Linked DNA regions of Bombyx mori. The protein of the gene in region 2 purifies or fractionates together with the protein of the main gene of each other region. This does not show direct contact. Links are inferred from orthologs where the notes say so. Each region holds a gene or a part of one and is shown on either strand. Other genes may lie near its edges.

Region 1 (3,824 bases), on a different chromosome or scaffold from region 2:
TTAATAAAATTACTTGTTGTAAATTTATTGACTGACAAATTCGTCATCATTATTTTAGCAATTACTGGAGCCCATAAAAGTATCTGAAGTCACTAAAGTCAATGAATGGTTTGTTATTTCACATATCAATTCATTTAAAATTTGAATGTATGAGAGGAATATATATGGATGAGAGAGTACAACAAGCAACTCTTGATTCCTGGAAAAACTAATGTTGAAATGAACTATTTTTGAGTTGCAAATTTAACACTGGCCAAACCATGGGACATGTCTGTTTATCTGCTGAATAAAACTAGTGTCCCTAAATTACAGATCGACAGCCGGTTCTTGTGCCGGAAGCGGGAGTGGTCGGCGTCGGGAGTCGGTCTCCGCGCACAACGAGCGCTACCACGAGGAGGCAGAACGAGAGCGACGAGTCAGGAAGCGACGTGCCAGATTGTTGGCGGCTGCGGATGATGCTTTTGCACACGTCCGAAGAGTCAGATTGTCTGCTGCCAATGGTGAGTACCTAGGCGGCACTGAAAATTTCGGGAATTAACGAAGTGACACAACATTACTATTTAAAAATGTATTTATTGGTTTTCGAAGTATTCTCCGCGAAATTTGACACAATTTCCATACGATGGAACCAATCATTGATGCAACCATTCCATTCGGAAGTTTGGGTCTCCAAAATGGCCGTTTTGTAGGCGTCCACAGCTTCTTCAGGTGATGAAAATCTCTGTCCACGCAATTTATTCTTTATTTTAGGGAAAGTATAGAAATCATTAGGGCTTAGGTCGGGGCTATACGGCGGATGGTCTAATAATTCTATGTTTTCTTGCTCTAAAAACTCTTTTGTTCTGTGCGCGGTGTGAGAACTCGCATTGTCGTGATGGAGGATGATGCGGCGGTTGCAGTTCTCTTTACGGAGTTCAGAAACGACCTGTGGCAAACAAATGCTAGCATACCATTCTGCATTAACCGTTCTTTGTCCCTCAAGAGGAATAGTCGTAACATGGCCGGTTTTGGAGACAAACGTGGCCACCATTTTTTTGCAACACTCCGTGAATGAACAATTTTTGTTGGCTTTAACTCATTTTGGAACACCCAAACTCGTGACTGGTTTTTTGTTTCGGGTTCGTACGCGTATATCCAGGATTTGTCACCTGATACAATGTTGTATACAGCATTTGAGGATCCTGCGTGGAATCTTTCGAGAGTTCTGACGCACCAAGTAACGCGAGCTGCTTTTTGCTCTTCACAGAGCGAATGCGGTATCCATCGGGAAAACAACTTTTTTACACCTAATTGTTCATTCAAGATTATTTGTATTTGACTCATGCCAATGTCTAAAGTTGCCTGAATTTCGCGGTATGTCACATGTCGATCTTCCTCAATCAGCTTACGCACAGCATCAACGTTTTCTTGGGTGACTGCAGTTTTTGGACGACCTTGACGGGGATCATCACTGAGCTTGACACGTCTACGTTGAAACTCAGCAAACCAGCGATAAATTGTGATTTTGGATGGGGCTTCATCACCAAATGCAGAAATCATCCGGTCAACACACTGTTTTTGTGTTAAACCACTTCGAAAGTCATTATAAATCATCGCTCTTGAATTTTCTCGAGTCAATTCCATTTTCTCAACGACTAAACAAGTTTGACAAAACCTCGTGACAAGACCGAGAATCTTTTTTTAAATAAATAAATGGTATTCGATTTTTAAAACCAAGGAGTTTTCAATTAAAAAGATTTTAATATGACAGGAACAGTGGAAATATTCCATTCCCGATACTTTTAGTGCAGCCCTCGTATAGGTTTTATAAAATGCTAGCCAAAACTGTTGTAGGCTAATTATTAACTTCATGTTCGATTTTATGGACACCGAGCCCCTTCTAATGTTCCTCCATCCGTTCTCTGTATATAATTCTACATTTTGAAATAACAGCGTGTCCAAGGTTTCGAACTCAAATTCCAAATAATTTATTTCAATTCAGATGTCATTGAACAGTCTTATTTTAATTTCAAAATAAACTTGACCACTGGGTTTCAAGCGAAAGTGGAGTGGAGGTGGAAGAGCCACAGCCATAACACTAATAGTAATACGGACGGATGATATGTTCTCAGGGGGAGCGCTGGGTCCCCGCGAGGCTGCACAGGCCGTATTCCCTTCCCTAGCTCGGGCACTGCAAAAGTATCTCCGGGCCACCAGGCAACAGCCCAGACACACTGCTGACTCAGTTAGTACATACTATATTTTTTACATACATCTTATTGATTAAAAAGCTTTAGTTGGGTAAGCATATTTAGTGTTTTAATATTCAGATTAATGTTTCTTAAATGCATTGCCTTAAATTCCTTAAATACCCACATTGAGAGAACTTTGAAGTCTTGATATTGAAACGGGCAGGATAACACTAACTCATGCCAAATGAGAGTAATTTTATTTGCATTATATCACCGCGCGCGGTCTTTGAAATTACATGTCATTGGTACATAATTATTTAAATTAAATCGGTAACAGCTTCCGAATAGCACCACAGCATGTTAATGTTAAGTTTTTCTAACAAGCTTTCTAATAATTTTCAGTGTTTTAATGTTAATCAACAAGTTTCAAATCCACAGGTCTTAGCCCATCTAGCTCGCTGCTTATCCCAGGATGCGTCACCTCGTGCTTTCCTCGAGCCATTCCTAGTGGAAGGCCCGGTTCTGGCTGCCGACCACGAGACTCGTCCTTTGCAGCGCTGGTCGCTCATCTCCGACGAGCTGTTAGCGCGACCTATTGCCCACAACATCGACTTCCAACTCCGTCAAGGTGACGTTTCATTAATATGTTCTATAAAACAGCTACCTAAATTCAGCTTGTCTGAGGAAGTCGTTGACCCGAAGAGCAACAGGTTCGTGCTCAGGCTCAATTCGGAGACGTCAGTTTGACAGGAGGAGTACGACGCTAGAGACGGGCTGAGGCTGGTATGACGCTCGATGTCTTGGCCTTTCAGGCACATGACATGCTCTGAGTGATTGTCAATGTCATTTTGACATTAGTTAAATGCAGCTGAAATTATACCTACATTTATTTCATTACGTCAAATTAGGAGAGTAGAGATAACGAGAATTGTGTTTTATGATGGACACATTAAAAAGTGTCCAATCGTAAGCAACAAATTAGCATTTCAAAACCCACCAAAGGCGCCACCGGTGTTGCGAGTGGTGTGTGATTTGAATGTTGCTGTCATAAACGGAGTGAAGCGCGTTAAGCTGAAAATATTTTGGTATAATAAATTTTGACGTTACTTAGAAATCACACCAAACGCTACGGTGGCGCCACCCTAGTTGGTCGTTATTCGACGAACACTTTTTAATACACAGAGACTGTGTTATTTACTTCTGCTTTCCACACGTTAAATACATAAAAGTATCTAGTATTCATAATTCTGTATTAGTTACAAAAGTATTTCATTAAAAAGACTGTCCAGACATTCCTTCTTTAGTAGCGATTTTATGAGCTCTCTACAAGTTTTTCTATACAACTTGACAAGTTAAGTGCCTGATGTTGCTTCGACTTAGGTTAGACGAGTGGCAGCTATTAGAATAATTTAGGTATTAGTAGTTAATTTGTTGAAAGCCCACTAGTAAGATTTAAACAGTAGTAGAATTAAACATATACCTTTATGAAGGTATATTCTTATATGAAGCAAATGGTTAATTTAGTAAAGTTGATTCTGTACAAAATGTTACCACCTCCCACTTCAGCAAAACGATTTCAAATCTAAAGTCCGAAATTCATTAGGTCTCCTAAAATTGAAAATTTCAAATTGTCATCGATTTTGATGTTTAATA
Region 2 (3,824 bases):
GTGCATCCGATTGACTTGAAACTTGGTAGCCATGTAGAAAATACATGTACTTAATGGATAGGCTAATATTTATATGAGTGCTGGACTCCCTACATCAGTTGCGGGGGCGTTAATGATGAGAATCTTTGTGGGGGTGAGAAATGATGATGTTAATTTAAAATTCCCAGCGAAGCGGACGGGTGGGTACAGCTAGTTTTTCTATAAAAATAAATAAATGACATTTGTGCAACAAAAAAAACTGGTTAAACCGTACAACATTTGTAGTGACATTTGACTTGAACAAATCAAATATTTTTTGTAGAGTAATAATATACTCGAATATAGTAATATTATATAATATACTATACATAATAAACTAGAGTAATATGTATGTATGTATATGTGATTGTGTATTTATGTATATGTATATATCGACGCTTGAAAGGCAAATATGACTAAGCGACAATAACTGCTTTGTACATAAATGATAGGCAATAACCATATTCGATGCGCAAAAAATATATATTTCTAGGTCTATTAAAATCATTTCAATCCTACAGCTACTAGCTAGATTCTACTATAGCTAGATTCGTTAAAATAAATTTTGTTTCAGGTATTTCAACTTTAAATTAGTCTACTGTACAGTTCACGCATTGTCGCATATACTTTTTTTTTGTGTATGCATTTGTAACTTAATATAAATTTCATTGCACCTACCGCTGTTCACTCTGCACTACCTTTGGTTGACTGGTAGAGAATGCCTTAGGTATTAAGTCTGCCAATGAAAATAAATAAATATACATGTATTATTTCCAGGCCGGCTTCATAAGGCACACAGTTAACAAGATAACGTTCAGCGAGCAGTGTTACTACGTGGCGGGCGCGGGCTGGCTGGGCGGCGAGCTGTCCTCGCTCAGGATACGTGCTGACGACGCTGACGTCAAGCCCCTCCCGGACCCGGGGTCGGTGCATGGACCTCATTGTGTACATTGCCGTTGGAGACCGCAGCTATAGTGATACTTGGGGCTCGTGTCTCAAGGCGGGTGGCCGCTTTTGTGTTGCTGATGTCCATCACCTAAGCAATAAAAATGATAGTCGGTAGTTGTCGTCGTCCATGGACAGCAACAAAGCAGCTGGCTACTGGTGAAGTTTTCTAGAAATTGATTTGAATAAGGATAGGTTTTTTTTTATTGCTTTGATGGGTAGACGAGCTCACAGCCCACCTAGTGTTAAGTGGTTATTGGAGCCCATAGACATCTACAACGCAAATGCGCCACCCACCTTGAGATATAAGCTGTAAGGTCTCAGTATAGTTACAACGACTGCCTCACTCTTCAAAGCGAAACGCATTACTGCTTCACGGCAGAAATAGGCAGGGTGGTGGTACTTACCCGTGCGGACTCACAACAGGTCCTACCGCCAGTAATTACGCAAATTATAATTTTGCGGGTTTCACTTTTATTACACGATGTTATTCCTTCACCGTAGAAGTCAATCGTGAACATTTGTTACGTACGTATTTTATTAGAAAAATTGGTACCCGCCTGCGGGATTCGAACACCGGTGCATCGCTTCAACACGAATGCACCGGACGTCTTATCTTTTAGGCCACGACGACTTCACTCGCACTCTTGATTTATCACCAATTGGCACCGTCATGAGACTTACTAAGAATCCGTCATAATGTTCAGGGAACATTAGAAAGTTAGAACATTAGTTAGAAACATCAGAAAGAGTTCAGATCCAGGGTCTTAGGGTGTGTTGGAATGACAATTTAAGTAGAATTAGACCGTACTCCAGTGATAACAACAATGAACCCACACATGTCACATGTTTTAATTGTAATTTTCCTTGTTGCGCAGCCTCATGGGCCCAGGATACGTACCATATGCGGGCTCGTATGGCTACCAGCCCATACCCTTCAAGTATTCCTGTGCCAACAGCGAACACACCATATACGGGTGAGTTAAGTGTTGAGAGGAATGAGTGGAGGCAAAATGTTGCCATACGTATAAACACCATGCCGGTTCAGCTAAGCTGTGTTTGTTTTGTATTGATATCAGTATGAAGGGTAGAATTAAGAGGACTTTTTGGCCGGAACGCGAGGAGTGAAGTTGTGTGATTTGTTTTATTTTGTCTATTTAGGTTTCTTCGGGTTTAAAAGTGTAATAACGGTGGTTTATTAACTGTTTACTGTATCTGTGGAAGTGCACAAATGTGGGAAAATGAAACAAAGCCGCTGAACATGTCATCTATGCTAATATATAAATCTACAGCGGTTTTCACGGATGTTCCGTTATAACTACTGAACCATGCATCCGATTGACTTGAAACTTGGTATCCATGTAGAAAATACACGTACTTAATGGATAGGCTAATATTTATATGAGTGTTGGACTCCCTACACCAGTTGCGGGGACGTTAATGATGAGAATCTTTGTGGGGTTGAGAAATAATAAAGCTAAATTTAAATGCCCAGCGAAGCAGATGGGTACAGCTAGTTTTTCATAAAAAAAAATCATTGAAATTATAATCAGACTTGACCTAAAAGTCTTAGTTACCAGGTCATAAAATCCTATAAAAAAATAGAATTAAGAACGCCATCTAATAGTAGGAAGTGGAAATGATATGGATATAGCAGTTTTAAACAGAGTGAAAGGTGATAACTTATGGCGCGTTTCTAAAATATCTCCACTTTCTACTGTGGCGCCATCTTTCAGCAGACACTTTTTAATACACTGAGATGGTTCTTAGTAGTTCGTAGAGGTAAGGAGAACCGTCTCATATGGGAGATGCTTGAAAAAGTGTCCCACTTTCAGCACTTAATAACAGTTCAAAAATCCTCCAGAATGGCGCTACCATAGGCACAGGGTGTGATATGAATTGAGCAGTTGTTAACTGATTGAAGTATGCTGAAGGAAATTTAATATATTTAATGACTAGAGTAGTTAGTGACAGTGTAATATACAAGACCTCGCATGTTTACGTAGTCCAAACTAATTTCGTCAATATAACCTAAAATTATTGCTGTGGTAAATCGCGGAGACATCGATTGCATTTTCTTATCAGCTTTAAATAATATACTTTTTGTGATTTTGTACTGCTTATAGTTCTTTCGTCCTTTTTTTATTTCTCTATCTTATTCTAATAGTTTTTAGCCTTTTTTTAAATTTACCCAGTTGCTACTCCTTACCTCTACCCTTCATAGCTCCATGGATATTAGGAATGAATCAATATCACGGACGTTAGTGTGTGGCACGCTGAGAGAGAGAGAGAGAAAGAGCCTACAGGAATGAGCAGGATAGACGACAGTAACATAGTCAAGGCCTACCTCAATGGTCATGTTGACGTTCTGTCGTCAGGTACAACCGAGAAGAGTCCGCGGTGTCGGGCAGCGGGGGCTCGAGTGGGGGCTCGGAGCGCGGCGCGGGGGGCGGCGGGGGTCCGGGTGGCACCGGGGGGCCCACGCTCGACGAGAGGAAGTCCTCCTCGTCCGGCTCGCGCTCCTCGCCGCGGCCCGCCGACAGGCCTGTGCTCTTCCTATAACGGTCAGTGTACTGCGCGCTGATTAGCGATCAGCTGATCACCCACACACACACACGCACACACACGCACGCACGCACACACTTAAAAATTCTAACACGCAATGTAACAATTAAAAATAGACCAAGACGTGGGGTCGAAGACCTCTAGAGTCTCTATATGAACTCACTTGAACTAGTAGTAATAGTTTTTTTATTTTTTTATTTAGGCACACGAAAAATGTGGTCATTCCAGTTATCTTTTTTGAAATATTCATTATAGCCATTATTATTATTATTATTATTCAATAGACCTCTGAGGAA

What was found. The genes of interacting proteins can lie anywhere in the genome.
Region 1: the proteins of segment polarity protein dishevelled (region 2) and vang-like protein 1 purify together in Drosophila melanogaster (affinity purification with western blotting; 3 studies listed by BioGRID). This does not show direct contact. The link is inferred for Bombyx mori from reciprocal best matches to the Drosophila melanogaster genes dsh and Vang.

Annotation. Positions count from the first base shown.
Region 1 is NC_085129.1:14,696,027-14,699,850, reverse strand, and holds part of vang-like protein 1, read left to right. Parts: intron 1-312; coding exon 313-500; intron 501-2,111; coding exon 2,112-2,224; intron 2,225-2,609; coding exon 2,610-2,918; 3' UTR 2,919-3,824.
Region 2 is NC_085130.1:18,587,688-18,591,511, reverse strand, and holds part of segment polarity protein dishevelled, read left to right. Parts: intron 1-795; coding exon 796-941; intron 942-1,841; coding exon 1,842-1,940; intron 1,941-3,341; coding exon 3,342-3,525; 3' UTR 3,526-3,527; intron 3,528-3,824.